Linked DNA regions of Arabidopsis thaliana. The protein of the gene in region 2 purifies or fractionates together with the protein of the main gene of each other region. This does not show direct contact. Each region holds a gene or a part of one and is shown on either strand. Other genes may lie near its edges.

Evidence for each region.
Region 1: the proteins of RAPTOR1 (region 2) and TOR purify together in Arabidopsis thaliana (affinity purification with western blotting; 2 studies listed by BioGRID, with this or other methods). This does not show direct contact.

What each region holds. Positions count from the first base shown.
Region 1 is NC_003070.9:18,536,996-18,541,629, forward strand, and holds the start of TOR (target of rapamycin), read right to left. Parts: upstream 3,001-4,634; 5' UTR 2,625-3,000; coding exon 2,460-2,624; intron 2,237-2,459; coding exon 1,898-2,236; intron 1,820-1,897; coding exon 1,745-1,819; intron 1,568-1,744; coding exon 1,395-1,567; intron 1,027-1,394; coding exon 928-1,026; intron 612-927; coding exon 452-611; intron 384-451; coding exon 240-383; intron 103-239; coding exon 1-102. UniProt on the Arabidopsis thaliana protein: Essential cell growth regulator that controls development from early embryo to seed production. Controls plant growth in environmental stress conditions. Acts through the phosphorylation of downstream effectors that are recruited by the binding partner RAPTOR.
Region 2 is NC_003074.8:2,692,361-2,697,206, forward strand, and holds the start of RAPTOR1 (Regulatory-associated protein of TOR 1), read right to left. Parts: upstream 3,041-4,846; 5' UTR 2,552-3,040; coding exon 2,243-2,551; intron 1,879-2,242; coding exon 1,776-1,878; intron 1,665-1,775; coding exon 1,582-1,664; intron 1,503-1,581; coding exon 1,344-1,502; intron 1,253-1,343; coding exon 1,136-1,252; intron 1,025-1,135; coding exon 867-1,024; intron 303-866; coding exon 148-302; intron 51-147; coding exon 1-50. Other genes in the region: PYD4 (PYRIMIDINE 4), read right to left, coding at 4,394-4,437, 4,537-4,623, 4,731-4,844. UniProt on the Arabidopsis thaliana protein: Probable component of the plant TOR kinase pathway that recruits substrates for TOR. Modulates plant cell growth and regulates the activity of ATPK1 kinase in response to osmotic stress.

The DNA.
Region 1 (4,634 bases), on a different chromosome or scaffold from region 2:
AAGATCTCGAACATGAGTTTCCACTGTGGATCCCATTGCCTTTGCGATGTTACCAACACAAGCCACAGCTTCAAGCAAAGGTCTGCCTTTACGTGGAGCAATCTACAGGGACAACATAGTCGAACAAAGCCACTTGTCTAGTTCAGTTTTCAAAACTAAAACCCAATATAATACTTTGACACAAAAGTAGTAAAACGTAATTACAAAATAAATAAATAAATAAATAAAATTTGACCCACCGCATCCCGCAGATGAGACATAATTGTCGGCAAATAATGGATAAGCTCACCATCCAAAGCACCAGCCATTTCCCCAAGGGCGATGAACCCACTGGCTCTTTCAGCCGGTATTCTTAACACAGTAAGAATATGATTCATGCATATCTGCAAGAAAGTAATTCGTGTCACGTTTCCAGAAATTTTTTGGTTTTAAGAATCTCTCAGTCACTTACCGTTAAATAGTTTGTCACAAACCGGTCACGGAGAAAGTGAGCAATGCGAGGCAGTAACGAGGTGATGCTAAGGCGAACAAGGCGATCACGATGTTCAAGGTATCTGAGGACAATTTCGGCAACTTCTCTATACCTAGACATCATGAACTCACCTGTATTCCTGCAAACGAACTCTAGCATTAAGCTGTAAACTCTAACACCCAATATGCCATGAAATCAATCTGCTTATAACAGAAAACAACGTAATTTTCGTCGTCAAGAGTCTTTTGTTCAGGTATACACTGAGAGTGGAGGAATATACATGAATTGCCTACTTTTTTAATGATGTAAACTACAATACGAAGACAAACTAACAAAACAACCCGAGCATCATGGGGACAAACAAGTTGTTCTACGGAAATATTCCAGAATCAAACTTGAGTGTCTGACTAAAAGAAAGGGATGCTTTCAAAATAGATAACCACTTCTGCATTTACCTCAACAGCTCCCCCACGGCAAGTAAAGAACCATGAATACTGTGAACCGGAGCATTTCTGCCCAACCCATCCTGTGTAGCTTCAAACATTCGATAGTACCTGTAAAAGCCAAATTGAGAGAAGATCAGTTAATAAAGATGGAAACCCCTATTGATAATTTGAAACATTGCATTGGCAATGATATATATAAATGCAGTAGAAAGTCTGCAAAACGTATCACCATGGGAAGAATATATATTCGAATATCATCCATTTTGGGGGGGGGGGGGGGACCACAGCATAAAAAGCTAATATAAGTTGCATTTACACAATAAAATATACAAAGTAGTACTTAAATGAGGGTGATTGCAAATGAAAGTATTGCAACAACACAAAGAAAAGCCTTGCATCAAAAATATCATACCAAATACATAACCTAAGGAAAACATTTCAGACATTATCATTTTCAAGGATAAGAGAATACTTACCACTGCACTCGCCATCGAGTCTCCCTTTTCTCAATAACACGAAGGCATGCACGCAAAGCTTCAACAGCTCGTTCTCGCACTTGCAACTGGGGGTCCCTAAGTGCAACCCAGATAGCATCCACAAATTCAGGGACATGAACGTTAAAGACAGTAGAAGCATTTTCGGCCATCTCCTGCAATGTTGCAAGAAAACATCCATATCCGTATTAACTTAGGATTGGAAAGTTATCATCACTATCATTTTTCAAACATCTATAATCCAATTTATTAGTTCAGAAGTTTCTTTCTGAGTAACTAAAAGAAAAAATGATCTGCTTATCTAAAGGATCGGGCAGCTGAAATCAGGATACCTTTAATATTAAAACGGCGGCGAAACGACGATATTCCACCCTGTCTACGCGAAGCCAATCAAAAGCTGTTTTCATCTGTGAAAACGAGATCAAGAATTGAGCAACTATGAGCCGAGACAGTGATAGGAAGGGGAGGGAAACAAACAATCTTACCTGAAACTCCACTTCATCAGAAGTCATTGCTCCACCTGCCCGAGCAAGGTGCCCCAAAACTCTACTAGCAAGCACCAAGATTTCAGGATCACGCTTCAACTCGAACACAGTCCTCATGTAACCCGCAAATCTAGAAACCTTAGTAGCATTCTCACCAAATCCAATCTCCGTCAACTCATCAATGGCTCTGAGTGCACCCATGTTTTCCGCCACATCAGTGCTCTCAATTAAATTAGCAATCCTGTCATATAATTGCTCCATGAACCTAGAGGAAGCTTCACCACTAAGATCACGAACTGCTTCCTCTACGTGTTTCCTAAACGCTAAAGGAGCTCCCTCCTAATACAACAACCAAAAATCATAAACAAAGTCGCATACTTGATGGAAACCAACAACAATAGATCAAAACCCACAAATTGCCAGACCTATAAGAACTAAAACTTCGAATTTTCCATTAACCAGAACAGAGAGATTCCGTCAGATAAGCAATAAAAGCAAAAGGGTTATATGGGTTTCTACTAAAGCATAAAAAGGGAGAATACTTTACAATGTTCTTCATTACCTTAGGATTACCACGGCTGCAAAGGTCAGCGATGACACGATTCAAAGTGTCAAAGCTTCCGCCACCAGAAGCGGTGGCTGAGGGACCACAAAAGCGGTGCGATTGCGAAGGGGAAGCCATGGATGCAGGCCGTCCAGCCACAAAAGATTGCGACGAGGTAGACATCGCTGCAGGGCCAGTCCAGCCACAAAAATCTTCCAAAAACCCTAAATCTGACCCCTTTTTGGTTCAACAACACTTGGGCAGAGAGAGAGTATGTACAGAGGAAGATAGAAGAATCTTCAACACATGATGCGTCGAGAACCGAAGATCGCAGAAGAAATCAAGATTTTTTCTCTTATTTTTTTACAAATTCAATTCGCTGAGTGTCTTTTTAGCTTTCTTAGGTTTTGCTTTGTTCTTTCAGAGACCAATTATCTTTGGTAAATAAATTGGAAAACCCGAAAGGTTTTTACTAGGAAAATATGACTTTTTCCTTGGAAAATTGTAAAACTTATGTTTGTCTATCAAAAACTTATAAATACAATATTTTCATTTTTTTTTGTCACTGATTAATTACTTAAAACCCTGAAAGGGTCTTTGTTTGGGCTATGTAATGTTTAGAATGTTTAATATACACTTGTCAAAGAAAAAAAATTACTTGTGAAAAAAAAAATAGTCAAAAACTCATATTTGTTCACTGGACAATAGAATAACTTTTTTTGTCAAGGAATAACTTTGTAGTTTCTTGAATAAGTTTTCTTTTATTGTCATTTCACTTTATTATTATTATTTCCAATTATGCTTTTAAGCAGATAAGGAGTTTTTAAAATGATCATTAAATTGTAGGAAAATAATAAACTATAGTTTTGTTGTAATTAGTAGTCATTACGAACAAAAATAATGGGGAAAATGAAAAAATTCAATTGAATGCATATGGTTAAGTTTGTCAACAAATTAAATAAATAAGAGGAATAATATCTATACAAAAAAATATCGAATATTAGTCAAATTTTGAATAAAAAATGTCAAATAATAGTAGAATTGTAAAATAGTTGTATGGTAATCGATATATCATATATTGAAAAATTGATGAAATGTGAATCATATCATTCAGTTAATTTGAATTGTTTTTCTTTTTTTTGGTATGGAGTGGATTTGAATTGTTAGATGTGATGAAACTTTGTTTTTCTATTCATAAAAATTCTAAATCATAGAAATCATTATTTATTCTCCAATGGTAAATTTTTGTTTTGCTTGTATGTTAAGTAGTATTCATATTCATATGTATAGGAAAAACTAAAGAAATGGCTCCTCCAAAATATAGTTCGTGTTTCTCCGTTGTTACAACGAAAATAATCACAATGATTGTGTATGACAAAATAAGCATTACATTCGAAAATTAAACGAAGCACATCCAACATAAAATTTCAAAAGAGTTGTGGCTTGTGGGAGGCTATAGCATCGCTTGGTTTCATCGTACACATCAAGGATGGTGAATAGACAGGGTCCAAGTGTTAACGTTGCGCAATCCCATAACGTGACAAGAATGTCGGTGAAAATATTGGTGTTCTTTTCTCTCCAAATTAATAAACTACAACTAAGAGTACTATTTAAAAAAGAGTTAAAATGACACAAAATAACTCAATTTTTTATATCATTAACGCATTATACGTATAGAATTTAAATAATAACATATACATTTCCATATAGGATAAATAACCTCATCAAAAAAAAAGAAGAATTTTATTATTAGTTTAGACTTTTTTGTCAATATTAATTTATTAGCTTCTTAAGTTTTATATTATTAGCAAAGGATAATGATGCCAACTATATACATGCGTGCTCCAACTTTTGGGACCAATTCATCTAACCTAAGTGATAAACAGATAGATAAATTATCCACTTCTAACTATTTTCCATCAGCTTATTTCAAAATTTAAAAGCTAAATCATTTCAAATCAAAAAGGTCTTTGGCTTTTTTTTATCCACTGTTCCATTATTTCTCTCTTCCATTAAAAAAACTGCATTTTACAAGATCTTTCAGTTTTTAGAAGTAATCAAGTATCAGTGCCAAAAAAAGCTACATTAAAATCTTACAAATTACAGTATACGACGTATTCCTATTTTCAATCGTTATCTAAGTAGAAATATATTTAATAAAACGTGTGAAATGTCAATAAAACAACAACAAAA
Region 2 (4,846 bases):
GAAAAGGCTAGCGACCAACAAGTCCTGTCTGAATAATCTCTGGAAAAGTTCTGCAGGGTAAAACTATCATTCATGAGGACACAGAAAAGAAGTCAACTTGAAGAAGATTTACCCTTGATAAATTATGCAGAAAGTTTGGAGAAGTACCATGAGGAAGCACATTCCAAGCAATTGTATCCGTCACTGCTGTGAAAATCCAGTTCAACTCCCCTAACAATGTCTTACGATCGTTTTGCCGGCCTGGAATCCTGTCGATAAGTGATTCATCGATAATTTCTTTCAGAAGCGAACGCCTGCAGAACCTGCAATGGAAATCCTCTTGTGAAAAAGCTGCAAGCTAAACTGAACTACATAAAATGGTGATCTGTTTACTGGAAAAAGGTTAAAAAGAAGCCCAGAATTGAAACCGCACAGACTCAGTAGCAATTAGTTATAGAATAAATATCACAGAAGGAGAAGGCTATCAATCAGGATGATATCGTGAATCTTTTGGTATCATCAAAAATACTTAGCCAGGACAGAAAGAATTATTGCAAACCATACATCAGCAAACTTCCATATGCAAAGTGACTTGGCAGCTAAAGGTATTATCAGTCCTGGTTATCTCACAACTCTTATGATATGCTGTTTTACCACCCCACAAAACTAAAACATACGCACAAGGTCTTCTAAACAAAACTCTATGATCCATCTTTGGTCCCATCCAAAATGCTGCCGAAAAGTTTTGATCTTACCTCATGATGAAGCGAGAACATACTAGCTAAGATTTTATAAACTTAGCTAGACGGAACTTAAACTACATTTTGTAGGAAGAAAACATGACATCTGAGTACGCAAAAAAAGTCAGAGATGGAATGATGATTTACCATTTCAACGCCATTTTAATGGGCGTTGTCAGGCAAGACGTAAAAACATCAGCTGGAAACTCAACGCTCTGAGGAAGTGTCTCATGTACATCACAAGCAGCAAGTAGAATGCAGTCCCTTGAGGATCCAGAGGAACCAGAAGAACCCCAATCATGAAGCTGGCGTAAAGAGTATATGAATTTTATCAACTTATGGAACGAAAATTACAGACTCGAGTCCTAAACTCGACAGGAGATGTGTTCTATAAGTGAAGTGGTTGTTTCCTTTACCTCAGCAAAGGCATTCAGAATCATCCTAGCAGCAGAGCAGTCGAAAACATAGATGGAGGGTGTCTTCAACCAGGAATCAAGTTCACTGATTGGCAAGGGAATGTACTGTGTATAACTCTGCTCAAACAGAGAATCAATCAGCTCGTGGTAACAGACGAGAAGGAACAAGAACATGGTAGAGAAAAGAAAACGCTAGTAAAAAACAGACCTTGTTAAATACCCAAATTTCACCATTAGCTGTAGGTTTTGGCACACCATGCCCATTATAATGGAATAGAACTCTCTCGGTCTTTGCATATTTCCGACAAGTCAAGCACAGCTTCCTCACCTCATCTACTGTCGGATCAAGCTGAACCTTATAGCGGGCCTGAGAAATCATAAAATAAATAAGAAAAGCGTAACTTAACAAAACAATAATGATAGGGTGCAGGGAAAAAAATTGTCACCCTGGGTTGCCATCTCTCATACTGAGTGCTCAAATTTTTTCCAATTGTCTCGAGAGCTTTAGGCGGTGCCATAGAAAATGGATCTGCCATCAGAAAGAAAAAAAATAGAGATAAAATTGACTGTGGCGACAAAAAAAAGGGATAAACACAGAAAAGAAAGAGTGTAATAGGATTGAGTAGGCCAAAGTTTCAACCTATCCATGCCTCGATTCTAGCACAAGGAGATATCTTTATAACATCCGGCGGATCAACAGTAATGTTTAAACACAGAACTAAAGCTACACATCCTGTTTTCATCTGCAAAGAAGAAGAAGAAAAGTTAACAAAGAATATGAGACTTGCAAGAACTCCCCTAGCTATCAGATCCAATGAACACCTGATTTAGCTTCCGACGAGAAATAGAATTATTTCTGAAGAGACATTGAGATTGAAACGAAACGGAAACATGTATCTTTAAGGTTCAGCTCCACAATAAAAACGTTAACACAAGTACACAACCCTCCTCGGTTAACATTACCTAACATAGTAGCGAACAATAGCAGATTTTATAATGAATTCTAGAAAATGTAGTTGTTCTACCCGCCTCTTACATCGTCAGTTGCACTAAACAAGCTAGTCTAACATACTTGCAGCTACCAACAATGTTCGATTGAAAACTTACTCGTTCTTTAAGCCGCCATTTGGGGACCAATACGATCTCAGAAGTCCCCAAGGGAGCAGAAGCCTCGGATGCGTCGTGTCTAAGCTCGCAGAGCACAATAGTCTGAGGCAAGTAAGCCATGCTGGTGGCGGTGGCGGCTCCCTCCGTTGTACCATTCCCGTAGCTACTACTGCTCTTAGCCTCAGAATCCTTCCTCCGGGAATCACCGTCATCGTGACTAGAGACACAGTCTTCGTCGTAACGGTGATTGGAGACCAAAGAAACAGAAGATTGCGAGAACCGAGACACCATTAAGTCTCCTAATGCCATCCAAATCGGAGAACACACCCCCGAATTAACACACCCCCAGAAATCACGCAAATCAAATCCTCAGCCCTAGCTTTTTTGTTTGGATTGTGCGAGATACAGAAAATAAAATAGAAAGGAAGACGGAGAAATCCAGATCAATCAACAAAGCCGCTGCACCAGCGGCGCAGGAGCAGAGAATCCAGCTCGAAAAACCCTCGACAGAGAAGCGGAAGCGGAAACCCTAAGAATCAGGAGAAGCGGAGGATGAAGAACGATGATGATTGGCTACGACGGCGATTGATGTGGAAGCGGCGGCGAATTAACAGTGGTGGTGGTGGTGGCGGCAGAAGAGAAAAAAAAAAGGCAGAGGAGAAAGTGAGGATGCGAAAATTGGGATTTTGTCAAAGAGAGAGACAAAGGGAAAGTCTTCAATGCATTTGCGTTTTCTTTCCACTTCTCTTTCATTCTTTTTCTCCTTTCCGTTTTTAGTTTTACCCTCTTCAGATCAAAAATCCACTCTAATTAATTACTAACTTTAATGCAATGTTATTAAATACTAATATTATAAGATTGAGAGGTATACTAAATATCTATAATTTTAAAATTAATTTATGTTTAAAATGTGGAAATTGAAATTTTGTATGCATCATTGAGAAACAAATTCAAAGAACACCATCAATGGATCGACTAATTAACTGAGAAGTTAATCGCAAATTCAATCTGATTCTTTGATTAAAATGCAACTTAAAACTCACTTTTATTCTAATCACGGTCTAAATCTAAATTTAAAAAATCAGTCTAGTTTAATTACGAAAACAAAAATTCAAGCTACTAAACTAGTAACAGAGAAATGATATTAAATTTAAAAACGATATTAGATTTTTTAAAACTATATTAATTTTTTTTTAAACGAGACAATTGTATTTTCGTAACCATAAATTACTTAGCTGACACTTTGTTACGTGAGTTACCATAAATTCTTCGAATCACCTCTAGGATTCCGTACAACGGGGTACATGAAGGGATCATCATTGCACACGCTTCATAAGTATATTTATGTTTTAATCAGTTTTGTGTTATAACGTTTAAATTAGTGTAATCTAAACACCAACGGTTTTTCTACTCTTACATAGCAATGTCTGGTCTTCTAAACCGAATTCATCTAGGGTTTATTGTAGTTGGTAAAAAAATGAAAACCGAAAAACTAAAAATTTGGTGTAGGGAAAAAATATTGGGTTCAAATTCCATGTTAATCAAAACTTCAGGTTCCGTTTTGCAATTATTCCATTATATTATCAATTTTGGACACAAACATCAAGCTGACACTTTGTTTGTCTGAATAACATTATCAAAGGCCATATATATCTAAAAGTCAGCAGAAAAATATCACAACTCCCTCTCTCTCACTTGGGAATCTCGCATCGAGAAAACAAGAAGATTCGATGATAAGAAAGACACTATGCATACTTGAAGAACTTATATTCGTGCTGACGAGTCTCGTTTCCGCGATCAGGACAGCTCTCCGGACATCGTTTTCCTACTCCGCCGCGGCGCCGCCATTTCTACCACTTCCTCGTCTTTGATGACCAACTGTTTTGCCCCACAGGTGTATCATTCAAGTTTTACTCTAAACTCGAAACTTCGGATCAATATATGTATTTGTGGAATATCATTAGCAGCGAGTTTTTTATTTATTTGTAGATTCTATCAAGTGTATACAGTACTGTACATTTAGTTACATATACTTGCATCTGTGATATATTTCGGTAAACACCAATTGTAATTCTACTTTATGATGTATTGTGTTATTTATATACACATACAAGGGTGAGTGATCATTAGAGAACGGATAAAGATAGTAAATCACATCTTGGACATGGCGTGATCCATCACATCCACGAGGAAATCTACAAAATACAAGATTTGAAACAACATAAATCATGAATAAAAAAATGAAACAAAAAGAAACCAATTTGAAGATATATATGTTAAACTAAGGAGCTAACCAGCGTCGGAGAGGGTGAAGCAGAGAGGAGGAGTGATTCTGAAGACATTCCCATAGAATCCACCTTTCCCCACCAACACTCCCATTTCTTGATACCAAAAGATTTGTATTAAACACTATCTTAAATGCATAAGTATCAACTTTATATGATGAGAGTGATCAATTTCACTTGGTTTAGGATTGAACACAACTAACCTTTCATTTGATCCATTAAATGAAGGGTCTCTGCTTTTGCAGGAGTTTTTAAGTCGCGGTCTTTGACAAACTCAACTCCTAGCATCAATCCTCTCCCTCTCACGTCTCCAATGACT